Anolis sagrei: one gene and its partner. The protein of the gene in region 1 interacts with the protein of each later gene in a pairwise test. Links are inferred from orthologs where the notes say so. Each region holds a gene or a part of one and is shown on either strand. Other genes may lie near its edges.

Region 1 (13,035 bases):
GTAACCCCATTTCTTAAGGTTGGCTCAGCATCTTGTGGTGTCAGCGTGCAGCCAAGTCACCCAGCCTTCTGTGTGTCCAGGAGGGAGTCCGTCATTCGGTATCAGCCATGGATGGGGGTTCTGGGTTTTAGCCTGCCACTTTTGGACTCCGGCTTGCTGAAGTGTTCCTACAAGTATCTCTGTAGAACATACAAACCTATTTCTTGATTTAAATCTGATGTGCTGGCTAATAACCCAAACAGGAGATGGGCCGGAAATATCACTGCCTTGGTCCTTATTTGCTGCTGCTACCCAGTGGATGTCAGGTGGCGCAATACCGGCTGAACAGTATAATTTCTCCAGTGGTGTGGGCCGTAGACCTCCTGAGATAATGTGGCATGTTTCATTAAGAGCCACATCCACTGTTTCAACATGGTGAGATGTGTTCTACACTAGGCATGCGTATTCAGCAGCAGAGTAGCAAAGTGCAAGATGTCCTGTGTCTGGTTGTGATCCCCGGGTTGAGCCAGTCAGCTTTTGTATGATATTATGTATAACACCCACTTTTTGCTTGATAGTCAAGCAGTGCTTCTTGTAAGTCAGAGCATGGTCCAGGATAACTCCCAGGTAGGATTTCTTCTCAGATAATCATCAGAACTCGAGATGTTTATTCTTAAGGTGAAAAGCACAAACCTGCAGTTTAGATGGGTAAGGAATCAGCTGGTTTTCCCTGTAATAGGCAGTAAGAGCAAATAAAACTTCAGAGAGCTTCTGTTCAACCATTCCAAAGCTCCCTGTTTGGGCGGTGATGGCACGATCATCAGAATAGATGAAACACTCTGTCCAGTGGCTGATCATTTGTGTAAATGTTAAACTCTGATGGAGCAAGCATGCTTCCCTGAGGCAGGCCATTCTTCTGTTTCTCAAGTGACTTAGAGCATGCAACCAAACAAATTGGTCAGGTGGTACCGTCTGAAATATGCATCCTATATGCCATGCTTCAGCTTATGTAGTACAGTAATCGAAAGAAGTAATCGGCAACAAAGATTTTCATCCTGATGTATGCAGATGATCTAATGCTCATCTCCCTCTCTCGGTTGGGTCTTTAAAATCTTCTGGAGGCTTTCAGTACCTACTGCCAAGAGAAATATCTGTGGAAAAAAAAGCAATAGAAAGAAAGTAGAAAAGCAAAGCTAAGAATCAGCTCTGTCTTCCCCTTCCTCCTCCTCTCCTCCTCTTTTTCCTTCACAACTAATTTCTAAATAAACATAGTTTATTTGGAAATTAAAATGGTTACCTACACCTTGTCAAAAAACAGGATGAAAGAAAACATTGGTTTGCCCAATATTTTCATATATTAATGTTTATGTGTAGAAATACATTTAGAAATAAAGTCTAATATATATATATTGGTACATTACACCAGGGTGAGGAAGAATCTGAGTGGAAGATCTGCAAGTCTATGAAATCTGCTGTCCATGTGATGATGGGAAACATGAAGGTCTCTACTTCTTCCCATGGATCTTTGTTTCGAAACTGGAGTGGACAGCACTTCAAGCAGAAGGCAGTTCTGTGACAGTCCTTTAAACAGAAAAATGTCTCCTATGGAGATTCTCAGTTGACCTATTATAAGCAAATGTATATTGTCTCTGACGTCTGACCCCATTCTGACAATTTGATCTCCGAGTACAGATTTCTGTGAAGCTCAAATAAAGGAATATCAGCTGGCTTGGGAAAACTTCAGGGCTGCAGGAAAGCATGCACCACAAAACAGTCAAATGAGGACAAAACCCACCCAGAACCCACAACACTGAGTGTTGAGTGGGGTGGTGCAGTGATATGGATATGGGGGTTGTAGGCTGGCAAAGCACCAGCATTTTGGGCAGGGAAAGCTAAAGATCTTGTTAAACAAAAACTCTTAAGGTTGTCGCTGCATCACCATAATTTTGTAGTATTGAGCCACAACCGTTAAATCAGTGTCAAACTGCATTAATTAAAAAATATAGAAGTTTTTTTTTTAAAAAACTGCACTTTAATAATTTAATTTGAGATGTACATTGTTTTAATGGTATGGGTAGCTTAATTCTATTTAAATATTAACTTTATATGTGTTTTAGTTGTATGGTTCTTTAAAACTGTGAACCTCTTTACGCTTTTTTGAGAAAAGCGGGATATCAATAACAGTAATAGAAATGAAAGCTGCCACGAATAATCAAAGGAAACTCTTATGTGAAGCCTTGTAATCATATGCAGATTTCCGCTGAATAGAAATTGACAGTTCACAGGAAGGAAGTGAATTATCCCTGTTAGCAATTTGCATACTCTAGCTCTGGCAGTTCATTACAAGTTGGAAGTAGGTCACACACCCAGAAAATGTTTATCCTTTTGTTCACCTTTAATACTGCATAATGGTGGAACACATGCTAATTTCTTACATTGTAGTACTTTCCGGCCACACTTCTGTCTCTCTCTGCACAGGCAGCAAGGTTGGCTCAAAATTCTGCTGCATGAAATAAGGAAAGAAACGGCAGCCCCTCTGTCATTCCATACATAAAAGCTGAATGGATGGACTTTGGTATCTCCTTAAATGTTTTTATTGTATTCTGCAAGAGAGAAATTGCTCACGACAGAGTATAGAAATATCAAATTGTTTTTTTGAGTGCAGCTCCCAGAATATTTCAGCAACCACGAGAGATTCCAAAACAAAAAAAAATGTTTCCCTAGGCCCCGTCTATACTGCCATATACTCCAGATTATCAAAGTAGATAATCCACATCTGCTTTGAACTGGATTATGTGAAACTACAGTGCCATGTAATCCAGTTAAAATTAGATAATCTGGATTTTATATAGCAGTGTGGAAGGAGCCCTAGTCTCTGGTTCTAGGTCCTTGGTATCCATCTGTAGACTCATTATCCAGTTTCAAGCAGATAATCTTAATTTTCTGTTTTGATAATCTGTATTATACAGCAGTGTAGAAGCAGCCTAAATTTCATACCTCACTGGGGAATTAAACTCTGGATAAAGCGTAGGCCCTTTCTACACTGTGAAATAAAATACAGATTATCTGTTTCGAACTGGATTGTATGACAATGTAGACTCATATAATCCAGTTCAAAGCAGATAATCTGTGGGCCCTTCCACAAAGTGGTATTAAATCCACATAGAACTGGATTATATGGTAGTGTGTACTCAGATAATCCTGTTCAAAGCAGATATTGTGGATTATCTGCCTTGATATTCTGGGTTATATGGCTGTTTGGAGGGGCCCTGGGTTGTCTGATTTGCTAATCTAGATTATATGGCAATGAGAAGGCGCCTTAGAATGAAGTATTCCTGTTCATAACACACCTAGTATACAGCTCTCTGCAGAATTCAGGTGAGATGTTAGGATGGGATACGGGCATTTCTAGTTCTCTGGTCTTCTGTCACTCTCTTCTTAGGAGGTTCTGTGGTGGAATCTTTGCAAAAAGATGAAGACTTTGCAAAATATTTTTTTCTCCCCAAGAATGCATGGCTAATATTTCTATCCTTAGAATACTTAATATGCATATTGCCTTGGAAATTCCAGTCATAAAAATCCACTATCAAACTCTAACAAGTTGAGGGCCCTTCCACAGAGTCATATAACCCAGAATATCAAGGCAGATAATCCACAATATCTGCTTTGAACGGGGTTATTTGAGTCCACACTGCCATATAATCTAGTTCAATGTGGATTTTATACAGCTATGTGTAAGGTTCATGAGATGTCAGTCTGAGAAAGCGAACATTTTATTAATTGTTTGAAAGGGAAACACACACTGCTCTATCTTAATCTCTAAATTGGGAAATCTTCATAGTCCTAGCAATGCTATAAGGAAGACTGATGTTAGGAGGTATTTCTGGTAAGCCCAATGCTCCTGGAGCCCTTCAGGAGACTGAACTGACCTTTTTAAAAGTGTATTTTCCTCCAGACTGGAATGCCAGTGTTGAGGCAAAGCTCCCACCTCACTGACAATTAGATGCAGACTACTGAATGCTCCTGCATTCTTGAATGTACCAATGTCAGGTGGTTCTATGAGAGTCAGTGAACATATAGTACCTTGATCATGGTCAAAAGTGCATGAACCCTTCTGGGCTGTGCATCTGGCTTCACTGAAAAAGTCTTTCTCTCTCTTTTAGGATCATTACAGCCACTCACAATTGTATGGAATGAAGGCTCTGGCTAAATCGACTGCAGTTCTCTCTTTATTGCTAGGTGGATTGATGTTTTTAATTGCGAGGAAGCCCAAGCTATGGCAAATCTACAAATGAGAGACTGTTAAAAGTACTGGGCAGGGCTGTTGCTTCTCTGGAGGGCATTCACACTGTCGAATTAATGTGGTCTAACAGCACATGAACTGTCATGGCCCACTGCTAGGAAATCCTGGGATTTGTCATTTTATACGGGGCTCTTCCACATAGCATGTTGTTGTTGTTCATTCGTTCAGTTGTCTCCGACTCTTCGTGACCTCATGGACCAGCCCACGCCAGAGCTCCCTGTCGGCCGTCACCATCCCCAGCTCCTTCAAGGTCAGTCCAGTCACTTCAAGGATGCCATCCATCCATCTTGCCCTTGGTCGGCCCCTCTTCCTTTTACCTTCCACTTTCCCCAGCATAATTGTCTTCTCTAGGCTTTCCTGTCTCCTTCAACTTTGTCTCTAGTATCCTTCCCTCCAATGAGCAGTCGGGCTTTATTTCCTGGAGTATGGACTGGTTGGATCTTCTCGCAGTCCAAGGCACTCTCAGAACTTTCCTCCAACACCACAGCTCAAAAGCACCTCTTCCTTCGCTCAGCCTTCCCTAAGGTCCAGCTCTCACATCTGTAGGTTACTACAGGGAATACCATGGCTTTGACTATACGGATCTTTGTTGCCAGTGTGATGTCTCTACTCTTTACTATTTTATCGAGATTGGACATTGCTCTTCTCCCAAGAAGTAAGTGTCTTCTGATTTCCTGGCCACAGTCTGCATCTGCAGTAATCTTTGCACCTAGAAATACAAAATCTGTCATGGCCTCCACATTTTCTCCCTCTATTTTCCAGTTGTCAATCATTCTTGTTGCCATAATCTTGGTTTTTTTTTTTATGTTTAGCTGCAACCCGGCTTTTGCGCTTTCACATAGCATATAACCCAAAATATCAAGGCAGAAAATCTCACAATATCTGCTTTGAACTGGGATATCTAGTTTACACTGCCATATTTTCAGTTAAAGCAGAAAATGTGGGATTTTGGGCCCTTCCACGCAGCCCTATATCCCAGAATATCAAGACAGGAAATCCCACATTATCTGAGTATGGACTCAGATAACCCAGTTCAGAACAGATATTGTGGTATTTTCTGCCTTGATACTATGGGATATAGGGCTGTGTGGAAGGGGCCAAGATCTTCAGCCTTCTCTGCCAAAGAGTGCTGGTGTCTCACCAACTACAGCTCCCAGGATTCCACAGCATTGAACCACAGAAGCTAAAGTGGTGTCAAACTGCATTAAATCTACAGTGTACATACAATTAGGCCCTTCTACAGATTATCTTCTTTGAAGTGGATTATATGGCAGTGTAGAATCAGGGCCCTTCCACATAGCCCTGTATCCCAGAATATCAAGGCAGAAAATCCCACATTATCTGAGTGTGAACTCAAATAACCCAGTTCAAAGCAGATATTGTGGGATTTTCCACCTTGATATTCTGGGATATAGGACTGTGTGGAAGAGCCGTCAGATAATCCAGTTCAAAGAAGATAAACTGGGGCTGGATTTACAGTGCCCTACATCCCAGGGTCTGATTTCAGATTATATTCTTATCCCAGATTATCTTGCAGTATAGACTCATAATCTGGGGTCTGGTCATAGAATATTCGACTGCATAGCTCTAACCTGGATCTGATTTGATAATCTGGATTATAAGGCAGTGTAGAAGAGGCCTTAGGGCCCTCCCAGACAGGCCCTATATTCCAGGATGTGATCCCAGGTTTTCTGCTTTAATTTGAATTATATGAGTCTGCACTGTCAGGTAATCTGGGATAAACAGAAAACCTGGGATTAGATCCTGGGATATTGGGCCTGTCTGGAAGGGCCCTGAGTTATCTGAGAGCATTCCAAACAGCCCTATATCCCAGAATATCAAGACAGAAAATCCCATATTATCTGTGGACTCTGATAACCCAGTTCAAAGCAAATATTGTGGGATTTTCTGCCTTGATATTCTGGGATATAGGGCTGTGTGGAAGGGCCCTAAGTCTACACTGCCATATATTCCAGTTCAATGTGGATTTTATACAGCTATGCGTTATTGTTGCCTGCCATAGCATTGCACTTAATTCCCGGGCCCCCTAGAATTTTTGGGCTAGCACAAATCTTGACCCTTTTACATTTTTAATTGTCTTGAACAGGCAGGATTACTTTTAATATATGTGCATTTAATATATTAATATATGTATGGCGACAATTTTTATGTTTATATTTTGTTTGTTAATCTTATGGTTATGTTGTTTTTACTCTGTATGTTTTGTGATATTACTTGGGAACCACTCTGAATCCCCTCAGAGAGATGGAGTGGTATATAAATAAAGATTATTATTATTATTATTATTATTATTATTATTATTATTATTATATAAGGGGTCCTAATCTAGATATTCTGGGCCCTTCTACACTGCCATACAATCCAGAATATCAAGGTATATAATCCACAATATCTGCTTCGACCCGGAGTCCCTTCCACACAGCTGAATAAAATCCATATAACTGAGTCTCCTTTGGGGGGGGGGGGGGGGGGGGGAGAAGGGCGGGGTATAAATATAGGAAATAAAAAAATAAGTGGCCCTTCTTACACAGCCCTATATCCCAGAATATCAGCTTTGAACTGGGTTATCTGAGGCCACACTCAGACAATGTGGGATTTCCTGCCCGGATATTCTGGGATATAAGGCTGTGTGGAAGGGCCCCCAGTTAGGTTGGGGGGGGGGGGGGGGTTCTGTTCCAGTGACTGGAGCCCTTCCACACAGCCATGTAACCCAGAATATCAAGGCAGAAAATCCCATAATATCTGCTTTGAACTGGGTTATCTGAGGCCACACTGCCATATATTCCATTTCAAAGCAGAAAATGTGGGGTTTTATTCAGCTGTGGAAGGAGCCTCAGTCTACACTGACATATAATCCAGTTAAAAGCAGATAATCTGGGCCTGAGTTTGTACACCTGGATTTCCTCCCAAGATCATCAGCATGGCCTTGTGGAAGAAGGGTGCCGCATTGGCTCCGTTTCCCTAGCAACAAGGAAGCCAAGCCCCCTCCCCGTTTAGCATCCAAGGACCCTACGTCATGCCCGTTGCCATGGTAACACCGCGCCCGCCTGAGCCAATGGCTGACGGCCGCCGTTCTAGCCTCCAGGACGCGTCCTCTCTATAGTATACGTGAGAGTATCCTTGTTGTCGCCTGGATGACGAGGACGGAAGTGAAAGGAAGAAAACAACGTCGCGTGACCAGCGGAAACCCGGAAGCGGAAGTTTCGCGCGAGAGCGACAGGGGGAGAGGGAGCGAGAGGCGGCCAGGCGAAGCCTTCCTTCCTCCCTTCCTCCCTCCTGGAAGGCACCCCAGGCCGGGATGGTGAGTGCCGAGCGCGCCGAGACCCAGCCAGGCCCGGGTCCTTGGTCTTCCCCTCTCTTCTCCATCCACACTGTCGAATTGATGCGTTTTGACACCGCTTTGACTGCCACGGCTCCATGCTAGTTGTCCTTTGGGGAGGCCCCAGCCCTCTTTGGCAGGGAAGGTTCAAAGCCTTGTGAAACTACATCTCTCGTGATTCCATGGCATGGAGCCATGGCAGTTGAAGCGGTGTCACGTTGCATTCATTCTGCAGTGCAGAGCCAGCCTCTTGTCACCCGAGAGACGCATGAAAGGCAGACCCCAACTTTGTGCTCTCTCTTCTCCTCCTGGCCTTTCTCAGGCCTCTTCCACAAAGCAGTATAAAATCCACATTGAACTGGATTATATGGTAGTGTGGACTCAGATAACCCATTGTGGATTGTCTGACTTGATATTCCGTATTATTTACCATGTGGAAGGGCCCTTAAGTCGCTCTTACACACCAGAAGGGAATTATCTCTTATTGGGAAACCTGAAATAATCCAAAAATATCTACATGGAGGGCAGAGATATCAACACATTTCCTTTCTGGTGTTTCAGTGCTCACAAGCTTTATTTCATGCATAGAATTGAGTATAAAATTACCTTCACGCTTTGTCAGGCATGTAGCTGAAGCCCCCCAGCCCCCCCCCCCAATTCTCAGGGTGGTCCGCGTAAAGGCCTTACTGGTACATTATTTAAACTGTTATGTTTATTCATATCATGATCTGATCACCATGTTCAATATATCTTCATATGCATGGGGGTATTGGGGTAATGATACAAATTTTTTTGCTAGGGTAGACCCTCTTTCACTCAGACTCAGCCCCCCCCTCCCCCGAATCAAAATCCTGGCTACGGGCCTGGGCTTTGTGTAAGAGAAACATAATTTGGGTCTCTTCCACACAGCTAAATAAAATCCCATATTATCTGCTTTGAAATAGAATATATAGCAATGTAGACTCATAACTCAGGGCCCTTCCAGACAGGTTCTATATCCCAGGATCTGATCCTAAGTTTTCTGTTTCCCTCAGATTATCTGGCAGTGCAGACTCATATGATTCAAATTAAAGTAAAATACCTGGGATATAGGGCCTGTCTGGAAGGGCCTCCAGTTCAAAGTAAATATTGTGGATTATCTGCCTTGATATTCAGGGTTATATGGCTGTGTGGAAGGGCCCCCAGTTCAAAGCAGATAGTCTGGATTTTGTAAATCAGTGTAGAAGGGGTCTAATTCTCATGTGTAGAAATGGGTCCCATTTTCAAGATATGTCATGTTTGTAAATACAGACATTCCAAAATCTGGAAAAATCCAAAATACTTCTCGAAAACATTTGGATAAGAGATGATCTCAGGGCCCTTCCACAAAGTCATATAACCCAGAATATCAAGGTAGAAACTCCCACAATATCTGTTTATCAGAGTCCACATTAGCATATATTCCAGTTCAAAGCAGATAATGTGGGATTTTATTCAGCTGTGTGGCAGGGCCTCTGTGTTGTCACACTGTTTGTGCCATGTTCCCATCTGCTGGCCTTCTGTAAAGAGTGTCTATTCTTCCAATTCCACTTGAAAGCTTTTCCCCTAGAAACAGTTAGAGAGGCCATTGAATACAACAAGATTCACCTGATAACGGGAAAGACCAAAAAACAGCCAGTCTAGTTGCCCAAGAAAAGATAGTGTCATCAGTGTACGCTATCTGAATACTTTTGATTCTGTTTAGGAAAGCACTCAACTGGCAAATTGAACAGCTTGTAATTTCAAATGCAGTTCCAAGAAGGACCAAGTGGAAGAATTTGCATACTATAAAACATTACTAAAGTGGCTGAATCTTTTCAAAAGGAAGAGATGGGAGTATTAAGATGGTGTCTTCCCATATGAAGGGGCAATATTTTACAAGTTGAAAGATCCTGCCCATCCTATTCGATTTTATATTGTCTTATTATTTCATTTTGTTATTGTAATTTATTTCCTGATGCATTTTTGGTTTGTATTCTGTATTTTACTGTGTTGTATTGTATTTTTATATGGGCTTGGCCTCATGTTAGCCGCCCCGAGTCGGGGAGATGGTGGCGGGGTATAAATAAAGATTATTATTATTATTATTATTTGCTTTATTCTGGGAGGAGGAACTGGCAAAATTACTTCTGATAATCCCTTGCCATAGGTCAACAGTCAACTTGGATGCATGTACAAACACAACCCTTTGTCAACCACCCTTCCTGTTTGTGTACTTCACAGACTGAAGTCTCCAATCCATATTAAAGTATGGAAAAACTCACTATACAACCTTTTAGTGCAGTGGTTCTCAACCTGTGGGTCCCCAGATGTTTTGGCCTTCAACTCCCAGAAATCCTAACAACTGGTAAACTGGCTGGGATTTCTGGGAGTTGTAGGCCAAAACACCTGGGGACCCACAGGTTGAGAACCACTGCTTTAGTGAATATGCTGTGTGATGTTTACTCTTATATTTTAAGACTGACAGTTTACTATAAGCAATTAGATAGGCTTATATTTTAGCAAGTGCCAGATTAACTATTAAGAGTTTTGTGTGGTATTAGATAGGCTGGGTTTTCCCATGAAACCTTTTAGTAACTAAATACAGATTTATGACTCTGAGTGAGAGCTTATCAAACATGGGGCTGTTTGTATGGTGTGGTCCTTTCATAGGGTTTTATCATCTCTCTCTGTCACAGACAGAAGCAGCAAGTACTTGACCAGATCATTTCATTCAAGTACTTTCATCACAGTCTCTCTGTTATTTCCTCTGCAGGTCACAAGGCCATTGGTACCAGTAGGAGCCCAGTTCTGGCGCTGGATGTGTTGGCACCTGGCCCCACCTGGGCAATCATGAATGGGAGTGCAGTTCCCCTGTCCCCGGTTGGGGGAGGGATGCTGGGTGAACCTGCCTCTCTCCCCTCACCAGGTTGGCGGGAATTCTGTGAGGTGCATGCTCGGGCTGCCGCTGTGGATTTTGCTCGTCGTTTTCGGGCCTTCTTGGCTGAGAACCCACAGTTTGCCACTCCAGGAGCCGAAGCCGCCTTCTCACGTCGCTTTGCTGAGCACTTCCTGGAGCATTTTGAGGCCGAAGTGAGCCGGGTTTATGCCAGTGATTCGCCACCTCGCTGTGACATCGCCCCCTTTACTGGCTGTTCCTCTGCCCGTGACCTCTCAGAGACCTGCAGTGACTCGTCAGTGGCCTCACCCGTGGAGCCTCCCCTTGGGCCACCTTCTGGACTCTCCAGCAGCCAGTCCCGCAGCTCTGAGGATGTTTCTACCGTGACAGCAGTGACCGCCACCAAACCAAAGCTGAAGAAGCGCTTTTCGTTGCGCAATGTGAGCCGCAGTGTCCGTGGCAGTGTCCGTGGCATCCTGCAGTGGAAGACGTCAGCTGACTCGTCCCCTGGGGGTGGAGACGGGGCAGGGACAGGAGCCAACAGTAATTCCAACTCTTCAGGGGGTGGTGACTCTGATCGCTGGACTCACCGATTTGAGCGTCTGCGGCTCAACAAAGCCACCCCGGCCACTCTTCGAGTGGAACTGGCCAGTGTGAGGCGTGAGGGCTTACTGAACTACATTGTGGCTGACGATGGGTCAGGCGGGGGTAGTCGGACACGCTGGCAGAAATGCCGTCTTCTCCTGCGCAAAGCAGGGAAAGGGGAGGGAGAGGGGTACCTGTTGGAGTTCTACATCCCACCAAAGGTAAGCAGTGGGTCTCTAGATGCAATGGAGTAGGAGAGGGGAGGGCAGAGAATGGGTATAACCATTAAGAGGTGGTTGCGGGAACCAAGATATTCCAGGGATTCCTTGTTTCAGACTGGGGGTGTTATTACATTTCTCTCTCTCTCTGTCCCCCAATCTTTTCAACTGCTAGGCATCAAAGCCACGGGTCAGTATTGCCTGCTCCTGTGTAGTAGATGTGCGGACAACTACTCCCCTGGAAATGCCAGACAAGGAGAACACATTTGTGCTCAAGGTAGGAAAAAAAAGATGAGTTTGGGTACAGGCAGAGCAGTAATGTCTTAAGATTTGTATTACTATTCTTTTTATTTATACCCCACTTTTTCTCTCCACAAAGAAGACTCAAAGTGGCTTGCATAAAGCATTTCAATACAATTTGAAATCCAAACAACATTGGATTATACAAACATTAAGCAGAATAAAGCCTCAATGGTATTAAAAAATTAACAGATAAAATCCATAAATTGCCTTCAATTTTATTTAAAGCTAAAGCTTTGCAGTCTGATTAAGAGCCTAATATATTTCAAGCAAGTTTCAAAAGCCCATGCATCCCAAGCCATCAGAAGGCATCCTGGTGCTGTTCAGATGGTTTTTTTTTTTTTACAATAAATTTATTTCCTACCAGTGTCCACATTTACAGGGTCTCGTAATCCAATACTGGTAGTGGGCACTGTGTTGTCAATTTAAGTTTTAAACCTATTCAGTAATAATTGGAACAGTGGAAATTGTACACCAAATCTTTCACCAATTTATACATAACAAAGTGGTCCATGGAATTGTTTTCCTGAGATAAAACTAGAGTTCTTTTCGCCAGCTGACAGTACAAGTGGCAATGGCTGGACTGTGCTTTTAGTAATTGTTTTCTTGCCTCTTGCTTTTCTTCAGGAAAGATCCAGTTAATAATAACTTTATTTTTATCCCATTCTATCTCTTCTGCTCCAACAATATCTTGGTCATTTTGATGAGGGTGATTTTCCTGTGCCTTTGGGATGATTGGAGGCCAGTGTTTTTCTTAAGGGAAGCTGAATGTGAAAAAACATTTTGCACATTTTATGTGAACTTGTAGCCAAGTAAGGATTCAGTAGGTTCTGCTGTAATGTGATAGTTGCATTCCTTTAAAAGGCCACCTTTCCTGCTCTAAAAATAATAAGACTTCTGGGCCTAATAAGACACGGGCCTCAAAGGCACAGGAAAATAACCCTCATTAAAATGAACTTGGTGAAGATCTCAAAAATATATCTAAGTTATTTATTTTAATTTATCACACATTTTAATCTGCAGAAGATAAAAGTAATATTTTCTGGGTCTTAGGAGTTTCATGCATATTTGTTTGTTATTGCTGGCACCGCAGCACTTGCTAGGTTTAATTTCTCAAGAGCAGTGGCAAAGTTGCACTTACCCAGATACAGGAGTTGGTGTTTGGGAGAGTAAAAAGCATTCACCATGCCTGAGAAATTACCCTGTGGAAGAGCCAGTTGGTGCATTTAGGGCCCCTTCCACACAGCTGAATAAAATCCCACTTTTCCTGCTTTGAACTTGAATATATGGCATTGTGGATTCAAATAACCCAGTTCAAGGCAAATATTGTGGGATTTTCTGCCCTGACATTCTGGATTATATGGCTGTGTGAAAGGGTCCTAAATAAAACTACAGGAAAGAGACTCTCCCTCAT
Region 2 (12,661 bases), on another chromosome or scaffold:
GGGGACGCCCAGATGTGATACCATCCTGTGGGAGGCTTCTCTCATGTCCCCACATGGGAAGCTGGAGCTGACAGATAGGAGCTCACTCTGTCTCACACATTTGAACTGTTGACCTTCAGGTCAGCTGTTCAGTTGGCACAAGGGTTTAACCCATTCCACCACCGCAGCTCCCAGCTAAGCAGGGTCATCCTCAATTATTGCTTCTAGGATGGGAGACCATCCGGCCCCAGTAACTGGTCAATATACATTTTGATGCCTCAAATGTTAGCTCTGGGTATATTTGACCTGCTGTTTCCAAAACTGGTACATATTCCTCCTTCTCAGCTCTAGTTTTTGAGATACGAACATATGGCATCTCTCAGCCGCCATCTGCTCACCCATAAGAAATCATGGTAACCATATCTAAGAAACTAGAGCTGGTGGGATCTGTTCAAGGCAATTTTCTGAATCAGTGGCAATCATAATAATAATAATAATAATAATAATAATAATAATATAGATCTCGTTTGCTGTGACATACTGTGCTTTTGTGTCAGTAAAATAATAATAATAATAATAATAATAATAATAATAATAATAATCACAATAATAAACACTGCTGGCTGTTGAATTGGATCACACGTCGGATCCTTCCCAAGTGTCTAGGACTGTGTGATGTATCGGCAAATAATGCGTGCAGATCCCAGTAAGGTGACCTTCTGCAGCTGGCAGATGGTAATTTTGTCAGCGCCGATTGTGTTTAAGTGCAGGCCAAGGTCTTTAGGCACTGCACCCAGTGTGCTGATCACCACTGGGACCACCTTGACTGGCTTGTGCCAGAGTCTTTGCAGTTCAATTTTTAAATCTTCATATCGTGTCAGCTTTACCAGTTATTTCTCTGCAATCCTGCTGTCATCTGGGATTGTGACATCGACAATCCATAATTATTATTGTTATTAATTTGTTATTAATTTTTAATTTCTATATGTATGTATTTCATCTTTTACAATTTAGCTGTAAATCGCCTAGAGCATTCTCGGATGGAGGGCAATTAATAAGTAATTATATATGATATTATTATTATTATTATTATTATTATTAGGACAATTCATTCCACAGTCAAATTATGTTGGTTCTGGCAAAGACAGCTCTTGGTGAAAGTTTGCAAATACCGTCCTTAGACACCAGCTTTGTATTCTTCTTCCTTTCAGACCAGTCTTGCTTCTCTGCCATTTTGTATAGCCCTTGCCCACCCTGCCTTCAACTTCTTGAGATGGGGCCACTTCACCCCTGATGCCAGGACCCCTAAAGGGCATCAGAGCTGGACTCGCTCTCCTCCCATTTGGGAACAGCCCCCCTTCGAGGGGTATTTTGTTAGGAAACCAGCAGCCTCCTATCAAGGAGCAAGCTGGCACAGAACTTGGTGTTTTTGCCACTCCCGTAATTGAGTGGGCACTTGGAGGGCAGCCTTGCGAAGCCACTCAGGGCTTCGAAGAGCCCCATTTGGTGTGCCAGTTGAACCAAGGCATTCTTTCACCTGCCTCGTTCACCAAGTCCACCACTTTCTCCTTTCCAGGAGAGCTGTTTGGACAAGTCAGAGGTTGAGCCATTGGGGCCCAGCTCTTGCCCCTTCAATGTATGCCTTTCTGGCTTCAGTTGTGCCAAAGGAAAAGGTGTGGTTTTAAGGGCAGAGAAAGGAACATCCCTCCCCACTCCCTGGCACTCAGGTGCCCTCCTGCTTTCTCCTGCCTCAACCAACTGGGCCACTGCGCTTAGTAGAGGTAGAATAGATAGATGAGACTATTTCATAATGACACGAACACTGGGCAGGATGGCACAGAAGAGGCAGCATGACTCAGGTGCCACTCCTGGCATCAGGAACCTCAGAGTACGGTGAAAGGGCGGAATAGGAGAAGGAAGAGAAAGAAGGAGGAAGAGAAGAGAAGGAGGAAGAGGAGAAGAGTAGAGAGAGAAGGAGGAAGGAAGAGAGAGAAGGAAGATGAGGAAGAGATTGGCATGGGAGTAGGAAGTGAGAGAAAGAGAAAGAGAAGGAGGAGGAAGAGTAGCATAGGAGCAGGAGGGAGACGGAGGAAGAGGGAAAGAGTGGCATAGGAGCAGGAAGAGAGCAAAAGAGGGAGATTAGATGGAGGAAGATGAGAAGGAGGAAGAAAGGAGTGGCATTGGAGCAGAAAGAAAAAGAAAAGGGTACGGAGGAGAAGGAGGAAGAGGAGAAGAGTAGCATAGGAGCAGGAAGAGAGCAAAAGAGGGAGATTAGATGGAGGAAGAAAGGAGTGGCATTGGAGCAGAAAGAAAAAGAAAAGGGTAAGGAGGAGAAGGAGGAGAAGGAGAAGAGTGGCATAGGAGCAGGAAGAAGGAGAAGTTGAGATAGGAGCAGGAAGAGGGAGGAAGAGGCAGAAAGAGCAGGAAATAGTGGTATAAGAACAGAAAGAAAGAAGGAGAAAGAGGCAAAAAGTGGTATAGGCGCATGAAGAGAGAAAGAGGATGAGGAGAAGGTTGGCATGGGAGCAGGAAGAGAGAGGAAGAGGAGAAGGAGCAGGAAGAGGGGTAAAGAGGAAGAAAAAGAGTGGCATAGGAATAGAAAGAAAAAAAGGAGAAAGAAGGGGAAGGATGAAGAGAAGAAGACTGGCATGGGAGCCGGAAGAGAGAGGAGGGAGAGGAGGAGGAAGAAAAGAAGAATAGCATAGGAGCAGAAAGAAAGGGAAGAAGGAAGAGGGGGAAAGGGGAGAAGGAGGAAGAAGAGGGGGAAAGAGTGGCATGGGGGCAGGAAGAGAAGGTGGAAGAGGGAAAAGGAGGAACATAGGTTGGCATGGGAGCAGGAAGAAGGAGCAGTAGGAAGAAGACGAGAGTGGCATAGGAGCAAGAAGAGAAAAAAGGAGGAAAAGGTGAAGGAGGATGAAAAGAAAATGGCATGGGAGCAGAAAGAGAGAAAAGGAAGAAGAAAAGAAAGTTGCATGGTAGCAAGAAGGGATAAAAGGAGGAAGAGAGAGAAGTTGGAAGAGGAGAAGACTGGCACAAGAGAAGGAAGGGAGAGGAGGAAGAGGAGAAGATTTGCATGGGAGCAGAAAGGAGGAAGAGGGAGAAGGAGGAAGAGGAGAAGACTGGCAGGAGAGAAGGAAAAGGAGAAAGAGAAGATTGGCATGGGAGCAGAAAGGGGTAGAAGGAGGAAGAGAGAGAAGGAGGAGGAAAAGAAAGTGGTGCAGGAGAGAGAAGAGGAAGGAGAAGGAGGAAGAGAAGAAGACTGGCACGAGAGAAGGAAGAGAGAGGAGAAGAGGAGAAGATTGGGATGGGAGCAGAGAGAGAGAAGGGGGAAGAGGAGAAGGCGGAGGAAAAAAGGAATGGCATGGAAGCAGAAAGGGATAGAAGGAGGGAGAGAGAGAAGGAGGAAGAGGAGAAGGCAGCGGAAAAGAAAATGACATAGGAACAGAAAGGGATAGAAGGAGGAAGAGGGAAAAGGAGGAAGAGAAGAACATTGGCAGCATTAGAACAAGAAGAGAGAGAAGGAGGAAGAGAAGAAGACTGGCACGAGTGAAGGGAGAGAGAGGAGAAAGAGGAGAAGATTGGCATGTGAAAAGAAAGTGGCATAGAAAGAGACAGAAGGAGGAAGAGGGAAGAGTCGGAAGAGGAGAAGATTGTCAGCATGAGAGCAGAAAGAGAGAGAGAAGGAGAAAGAGGAGAAGACTGGCATGAGAGAAGGAAAAGGAGAAAGAGAAGATTGGCATGGGAGCAGAAAGGGGTAGAAGGAGGAAGAGAGAGAAGGAGGAAGAGGGAAAAGGATGAAGAGGAAAAGATTGGCAGCATGAGAGCAAGAAGAGAGAGAAGAGGGAAGAGAGAGAAGGAGGAAGAGGAGAAGGAGGGCGAAAAGAAGCATGGCATGGGAGCAGAAAGGGGTAGAAGGAGGAAGAGGGAGGAGGAGGAAGAGGAGGAGGAAAAGAAAGTGGCATAGGAGCAGAAAGAGAGAGAAGAAGGAAGAGGGAAAAGGAGGAAGAGGAGATTGGCATCATGAGAGCAAGAAGAGAGAGAAGGAGGAAGCGAGAGGAGGAAGAGGAGAAGGAGGGCGAAAAGAAGCATGGCATGGGAACAGAAAGAGGGAGAAGGAGGAAGAGGGAAAAGGAGGAAGAGATTGGCAGCATGAGAGCAAGAAGAGAGAGAAGAAGAGAAGGGGGGGGGGGTAAAAAAAAGAATGTCATGGGACCAGAAAGGGATAGAAGGAGGAAAAGGGAAAAGGAGGAAGAGGAGAAGATTGGCAGCATGACAGCAAGAAAAGAGAGAAGGAGGAAGAGGAGAAGGCAGAGGAAAAAAGAATAGCATGGAAGCAGAAAGGGATAGAAGGAGGGGGGAGAGAAGGAGGAAGAGGAGAAGGCAAAGGAAAAGAAAGTGGCATAGGAGCAGAAAGAGAGAGAAGGAGGAAGAGGGGAAACTGGCATGAGAGAAGGAAAAGGAGAAAGAGAAGATTGGCATGGGAGCAGAAAGGGGTAGAGAGAAGGAGGAAAAGGCGGAGGAAAAAAAGAATGGCATGGAAGTAGAAAAGGATAGAAGGAGGGAGGGAGAGAAGGAGGAAGAGGAGAAGGCAGAGGAAAAGAAAGTGGCAAAGGAATAGAAAGAGAGAAAAGGAGGAAGAGGAGAAGACTGGCATGACAGAAAGAAAAGGCGAGAGAGAAGATTGGCATGAGAGCAGAAAGAGGCAGAGAGAAGGAGGAAGAGGAAAAGGAGGATGAAAAGAAAGTGGCATAGGAGCAGAAAGAGAGAGAAGGAGGAAGAGGAGAAGGAGGGCGAAAATAAGAATGGCATGGGAGCAGAAAGGGGTAGAAGAAGGAAGAGGGAGGAGGAGGAAGAGGAGGAGGAAAAGAAAGTGGCATAGGAGCAGAAAGAGAGAGAAGAAGGAAGAGGGAAAAGGAGAAGGAGGAGAAGGTTGGCATGGGAGCAGAAAGAGATAGGAGGAAGAGAGAGAAGGAGGAGGAGGAGGCAGAGGAAAAGAAAGTGGCATAGAAGCAGAAAGAGAGAGAAGGAGGAAGGGGAAAAGTCGGAAGAGGAGAAGATTGTGGCAGCCTGAGAGCCAGAAGAGAGAGAAGGAGGAAGAGGAAAAGGAGAAGACTAGCATGAGAGAAGGAAAAGGAGAAAGAGAAGATTGTCATGGGAGCAGAAAGGGGTAGAAGGAGGAAGGGAGAGGAGGGAGAGGAGGAGAAAAAATGGCATGGAAGCAGAAAGAGAGTGAAGGAGGAAGAGGGAAAAGGAGGAAGAGGAGAAGATTGGCAGCCTGAGAGCAAGAAGAGCAAGAAGGAGGGAGAGAGAGGAGGAGGAAGAGGAGAAGGAGGGCGAAAATAAGAATGGCATGGGAGCAGAAGGGGTAGAAGAAGGAAGAGGGAGGAGGAGGAAGAGGAGGAGGAAAAGAAAGTGGCATAGGAGCAGAAAGAGAGAGAAGGAGGAAGAGGGAAAAGGAGGAAGAGGAGAAGACTGGCAGCATGAGAGCAAGAAGAGAGAGAAGGATGAAGAGGAGAACATTGTCATGAGAGAAGGAAAAGGAGAAAGAGAAGATTGGCATGGGAGCAGAAAGAGAGAGAAGGAAGAAGAAGAGGAGGAGGAGAGTGGCCCAAGAGCAGAAAGGAGAAAGAAGAGGAGCCGGGCAGAAGGAGTCCCCCCCCCCGGGGGGGGGGGCATGCCCATCCCTGGGTGCTGCTCACATTTCGGTGAAGTTCTCCAGGCTACGGAGCTGGGCGAGGCTCCGGATGGTGTTGGGCTCCTGGCAGAGGAGGCTGTTGAGGTAGCAGCGGCATGGCTCCAGGCAGGGCGAGGGGGTGGCGGGGGGCGGCAGGGGCATCAGCCAGGCCAGCAGGCACAGGGCCAGCCCCGCCCGGCCCCAGGGCGCCCTCCTCGCCTCCATCCAGACCCCCAGTCTCAGTGGTCCATGGGGCACAGCCCTTCCCTCCCTTCAGCTCCCCAGAGCATCCCTGCCTCTCTCTCTCTCTCTGCCAAGCAGGGCACCTCTGCCTCCCGATGCCTGCCGCTGCATTTAAAGGGCAAAGGGGGAGGAGCCTCCCACACACACTGGCCACGCCCCCTCCCCACTCCCCAGGACCCTCTCTCTAGGGATGGACCCAGAGAGAGAGAGAGCAGGCTGCCATGGCCCCTCTCTAGGTAGAGCCAGGGCACTGGGACTGGCATCCCATTCTAATTATTATTATTATTATTATTATTACTATTACTATTATTAGAAACACAACAAGATGTGTCCAGAGCAGACACTCTGCTGGCTGTTTTATTGGATCACACGTCGGACACTTCCCAAGTGTCTAGGACTGTGTGATGTATCGGCAAACAATGCGTGCAGATCCCAGTAAGGTGGCCTTCTGCAGCTGGCAGATGGTAATTTTGTCAGTGCCGATTGTTTTTAAGTGCAGGCCAAGGTCTTTAGGCACTGCACCCAGTGTGCCGCTCACCACTGGGACCACCTTGACTGGCTTGTGCCAGAGTCTTTGCAGTCCAATCTTTAAATCCTCATATCGTGTCAGGTTTTCCAGTTGCTTCTCTGCAATTATTATTATTATTATTATTATTGTTATTATTATTTAATCCTTTTCTATGGCACACAGCAAACAGAGGAATTGATCAGCAACTGAACATACTAGAGAGGTTTAGGGAGAATTCACCACAAATTATAGGAATTGGAGGTACTGGGATGTATAGTTCACCTGCAATCAATGAACATTCAGAACTCCACCAATGATGGACCTGGAACTAGCTTGGCACACAGAACCCCCATGACTAACTCAACCTACTAGAGAAGTTCGAGGGGATTGAACTTGACCACGGTGGTCCACGCTCTGGTTACATTCTGTATAGACTACTGCAACGCTCTCTACGTGGGATTGCCTCTGAAGACTGCCTGGAAGCTTCAACTAGTCCAACGAGTGGCAGCCAGATTATTAACAGGAGCAGGGTACAGAGAGCATACTACTCCTCTGTTGCGGCGGCTGCCAATTAGCTTCCGAGCACAATTCAAAGTGCTGGTGTTGACCTATAAATCCCTAAACGACTCCGGCCCAGTTTACCTGTCCAAATGGATTCTCCCCTATGAACCATCAAGGTTGTTAAGATCTTCTGGAGGGTCCCTGTTCTCGGTCCCACCACCTTCGCAATCGCGTCTGGTGGGGATGAGGGACAGGGCCTTCTCGGTGGTGGCCCCTCGGCTCTGGAACTCTCTCCCATTAGAGATTAGATCTGCCTCTCCCCTCCTGACTTTCAGAAAGCTGCTAAAAACCTGGCTTTGGAATATAGCATTTGCAGAATGATGATCGAGTCAATAACGGCTGACCACACCGGCGGATGGGGATGAATTTGTGATTTTATTCTGACGACCTGGCTTTTGTAATAGTATGATATTGTATGATCTGTATTTTAATGTAATTTGTATTAATGTATTACGATGCTATTATGTTTACTATATTTGTGTTGAATTTTCTGCTGTTAGCCGGCCTGAGTCTCTCTTCGGAGGTCGAAGAGAGAGGAGATTCCATCTGAACACGAGGAAGAACTTCCTGACTGTGAGAGCCGTTCAGCAGTGGAACTCTCTGCCCCGGAGTGTGGTGGAGGCTCCTTCTTTGGAAGCTTTTAAACAGAGGCTGGATGGCCATCTGTCAGGGGTGATTTGAATGCAATGTTCATGCTTCTTGGCAGAATGGGGTTGGACTGGATGGCCCATGAGGTCTTTTCCAACTCTTTGATTCTATGATTCGAGAAGACCGGGTTATAAAAGCTCTAAATAAATAATAAATAAATAAATTGACTCACTCTAGTGCAGTGTTTCTCAACCTGGGGGTCAGGACCCCTGGAGGGGTTGCGAGGGGGTGTCAGAGGAGTCACCAAAGACCACCAGAAAACACAGTATTTTCTGTTGGTCATGGATGTTCTGTGTGGGAAGTTTGGCCCAATTCAATCCTTGGTAGGGTTCGAATGCTCTTTGATTGTAGGTGAACTATAAATCCCAGCAACTACAACTCCCAAATGTCAAGGTCTATTTCCCCCAAACTCTACTAGTGTTTACATTTGGGCATACTGAGAATTCGTGCCAAGTTTGGTCCAGATCCATCATTGTTTGAGTCTACAGTTCTCTCTGGATGTAGGTAAACTACAACTCCCAAAACTCAAGGTCACTGCCCACCAAACCCTTCCAGTATTTTCTGTTGATCATGGGAATTCTGTGTTTCCCAGTTCGATTCAGTTCTATCGTTGGTGGAATTCAGAATGCTCTTAGATTGTACGTGAACTATAAATCCCAGCAACTACAACTCCCACAGGACAAAATCAATACCCTCCCCCAATCTGTTACTATTCATAACAGCAGCAAAATGAGTTATGAAGTAGCAACGAAACTAATTTTATGGTTGGGGGTCACCATAACATGAGGAAGCATATTAAGGGGTCGTGGCATTAGGAAGGTTGAGAACCACTGCTCTAGTGCGAGTTGTAGTTTACTCTGCAGCCAGAGAGCACACTGGACCCCACCAATGATGCATCCAGAGCAAACTTGCCCAACATAACAATCTTTAAGTACTGATGGGGGGTTAACCTGGCCAGATGGGAGTTGTAGTTCACCCACAACGTTATGCATTTTGCACAATTAATAAATTGACTTTCTCAAATAACCCAGACACCACCAGGTACCCAAGGTAATAATTACAATACAATACAATAAACTACATAACGAAGGATAAACAATAACATAAACAATCAATATAAGACAATAGCAAACAGAATTAACATTAGATTTAAAGCTCCGTATGTAAACATGGCTATCACGTCCCCTCTTAGTCTTTTCTCTCTCTCCAAGCTAAACCTCCCCAGCTCTCTAATTGGTTCCTCAAAGAGTTTGGCTTCCAATGTTTTGATTATTTTGGACACAGTCCAGCTTGTCAATAGTCAGTGCCACTCTTCGCGTGCCCCAGAACACCTTTGGCTTTATCGCGGACTGAAGAAGTCAGGATGGGCTTGAGGACAGGCGGAGGTTGGCTTCCTCCAATTTGTCTCTTACCCTGTGGGCTGGCCACAGATTAGCAGGCCCATTGATTAACCACTCAGTGTTTAATTGATTAATCAATACACCAGCCATATTTACATGCATTTGCATACGGTAAACCAAACACATGAGCTCCCGGTGGTGCAGTGGGGTTAAACCGCTGCTGAACTTGCTGACCAAAAGATCGCACATTCAAATCCAAGGAGCGGGGTGAGCTCCCACTGTTAACCCCAGCTTCTGCAGTTCGAAAACATGCAAATGTGAGTAGATTAATAGATACCACTTCAGCGGGAAGTTAATGGTGCTCCATGTAGTCATGCTAGCCACATGACCTTGGAGGTGTCTATGGATAACGCTGGCTTAGAAATGGAGATGAGCACCAACCCCAGAGTTCAATATGACTGGACTTACCTTGACCTAACCACACATCTCCGAAACACCAAAGGATGCCTCCCATGCATATCCTATCAGGAAAAAATACCCACCATCCAATCATACCTTGTTCCATGAAGGTGTCCCTTATGCTCACCTGAATCCTGGCAAAGGAATTTACAAAAGCTAAAGTACTCGTATTTTTTTGTTACTAATTTATATTTATATTTCAAGAATGAAAATAAGAAAACTGTCCAAAAACTTTTCAGCCAAATGTGTGGGCAGGTAAATATAGCCTGTTTGATGATAGAACCTTTCAGCGGCCAGGCTTTGAAGCTGCAAGACTATTCAATGCTAGTCTTGTGTGTTTTATGGGTTCCATTTAAACATCCTGCTCCTATTTTATCTCATTATAGTCTGTTAATTGGGTTGTTGTAGGTTTTTTTCGGGCTATATGGCTATGGTCTAGAGGCATTTTCTCCTGACGTTTCGCCTGCATCTATGGCAAGCATCCTCAGAAGTAGTGAGGTTTGTTGGAACTAGGAAAAAGGGTTTATATATCTGTGGAATGACCAGGGTGGGACAAAGGACTCTTGTCTGCTAGAGCTAGGTGTGAATGCCTCTAGAACATGGCCATATAGCCCGGAAAAACCTACAACAACCCAGTGATTCCGGCCATGAAAGCCTTCGACAATACATAGTCTGTTAATTGTTTTTATTTGGAATATGTGGCCCGCCCATTGTCATCTCTATTGTGATTGTATCTATTGGAATTATTATTATTATTATTATTATTATTATTATTATTATTATTATGTCATTTTGATAATGTTGTTATTTGTTGTATATGCTTTGATTTTATTGCTGTATTATGTTGTCCGGACTTGGCCCCATGTAAGCAGCTCCGAGTCCCCATCGGGGAGATGGTGGCGGGGTATAAATAAAGTATTATTATTATTATTATTATTATTATTATAGTCTGTATTGTTTTTGCTTATTGCTTGTTGTTTCTATAGATGTGTTGTTGGGCTTGGCCTCATGTAAGCCGCTCCAAGTCCCCTTGGGGAGATGGTGGCAAGGTATAAATAAATTATTGTTGTTGTTGTTCAATGTATTGTCGAAGGCTTTCATGGCTGGAATCTCTCAGTTCTTGTGGGTTTTTTCGGGCTATATGGCCATGTTCTAGAAGCATTTCTAGAAGCAGGCGAAACGTCAGGAGAAATGCTTCTAGAACATGGCCATATAGCCCAAAAAAACCCACAAGAACTGAGAGATTGTTGTTGTTGTTATTATTATTATTATTATTATTATTAGTCAAGGTGGCCAATGGCAACATCCATATTTGCCTCCAACAGAGAATTCATTCTCCCACCCTGGACATCTTTCCACAGATCTATAAACCCCATAGAATCCTACAATCAAAGAGTTGGAAGAGACCTCCTGGGCCATCCAGTCCAACCCCATTCTGCCAAGAAGCAGGAATATTGCATTCAAATCACCCCTGACAGATGGCCAAAAAGTTTAAAAGCTTCCAAAGAAGGAGCCTTCACCAGACTCCAGGGCAGAGAGTTCCACTGCTGAACGGCTCTCACAGTCAGGAAGTTCTTCCTCGTGTTCAGATGGAATCTCTTCTCTTGTAGTTTGAAGCCGTTGTTCCGCGTCCTAGTCTCCATGGAAGCAGAAAACAAGCTTGCTCCCTCCTCCCTGTGCCTTCCTCTCACATTTTTATACATGGCTATCCTCTCAGCCTTCTCTTCTTCAGGCTAAACATGCCCAGCTCCTTAAGCCGCTCCTCATAGGGCTTGTTCTCCAGACCTTTGATCATTTTAGTCGCCCTCTTGCCTCATTTCCAAGAGACCTAACAACTTCTGAAAATGCCTGCCATAGATGAGGGTGAAACATCAGGAGAGAATGCTTCTGGAACATGGCCATACAGCCCGGAAAACTCACAGCAACCCTATGCCAGGTTGGCAACTGACTTTTTGGAGGTGGCTTTTGTGGAAAAGAGAAAGCTCTTTGCCAGGCAAAGCTAGACCCTTTGTGTAAGCCCTCTCCAACCGACCGATATCGGTGCCCCCGTTGATGGCCCGCCTGCTTCTCCTTCTGCTCCTCGTTGCCCCGATTTGCTAGGAAGAGTCCAGTGGGAGCCCCCGAAAGGCTAGTGAGAGTATTAGGGGTCTCCAGAGAGCTCTTGGCCTCCTCTAACAAGCATGGCCGTTGTTGATGGATGGTCCCTTTGGAAGTGGGCACAGATGGGCTCCTGCAGGGAGCGACAACACAGGCCGTACATCAGCAGATGTTGCAGAGGGGCGGGATATGCCTTCTTTTGGATATGCCATGCTCGAGGGCATGCAAAAAGAGACTCAGAATGGGGAGCAAAACAAATCTACTCACCTCTCACTCACTCTATAGAGCAGTGGTTCTCAACCTTCCTAATGCCGCGACCCCTTAATACAGATCCTCATGTTGTGGTGACCCCCAACCATCACATTATTTTCGTTGCTACTCCACAACTGTCCTTTTGCTACTGTTGTGACCTGTAATCTATATAAATAAAAACGTAATATTCGTTTGTGGGATTAACAGAACTCAAAAACCACTGGACGAATTGACGAAAAACTGGAAAGGTTTGGTGGACATTGACATTGAGTTTGGGAATTATAGTTCACCCACATCCAGAGAGCACTGTGGACTCAAACAACGATGGATCTGGACCAAACTTGGCACGAATATCCCATATGCCCAAATATGATGGAGTTTAAGGGAAATAGACCTTGACATTTGGGACACAAGACATCTAACAACCCAAATTGACACCTAACAACCCTAACAACCCATCCTCACTACCTCTGAGGATGCTTGCCATAGATGCAGGCGAAACGTCAGGAGAAATGCCTCTAGAACATGGCCCTATAGCCCGAAAAAACCCACAAGAACCTAGTGATTCCAGCCATGAAAGCCTTCGACAATACATTAAACCCAAATTGATTTTGCGATTTGGGAGTTGTACTTGCTGGGATTTATAGTTCACCTACAAAGAGCATTCTGAACCCCACCAATGATGGAATTGAACCAAACTTAGCACACAGGGCTCCCATGACCAACAGAAAAAACTGGAAAGGTTTGGTGGACATTGACATTGAGTTTGGGAATTATAGTTCACCCACATCCAGAGAGCACTGTGGACTCAAACAATGATGGATCTGGACCAAACTTGGCACGAATATTCCATATGCTCAAATATGAACACAGATGGAGTTTAAGGGAAATAGACCTTGA

Evidence for each region.
Region 2: the proteins of SH2B1 (region 1) and NTRK1 interact in a two-hybrid assay, tested with the Homo sapiens proteins (2 studies listed by BioGRID). The link is inferred for Anolis sagrei from reciprocal best matches to the Homo sapiens genes SH2B1 and NTRK1.

The regions. Positions count from the first base shown.
Region 1 is NC_090026.1:22,729,482-22,742,516, forward strand, and holds the start of SH2B1 (SH2B adapter protein 1), read left to right. Parts: upstream 1-7,474; 5' UTR 7,475-7,604; intron 7,605-10,395; 5' UTR 10,396-10,472; coding exon 10,473-11,324; intron 11,325-11,496; coding exon 11,497-11,598; intron 11,599-13,035. UniProt on the Homo sapiens protein: Adapter protein for several members of the tyrosine kinase receptor family.
Region 2 is NC_090032.1:10,580,962-10,593,622, forward strand, and holds the start of NTRK1 (high affinity nerve growth factor receptor), read right to left. Parts: upstream 6,008-12,661; 5' UTR 5,879-6,007; coding exon 5,679-5,878; intron 1-5,678. UniProt on the Homo sapiens protein: Receptor tyrosine kinase involved in the development and the maturation of the central and peripheral nervous systems through regulation of proliferation, differentiation and survival of sympathetic and nervous neurons.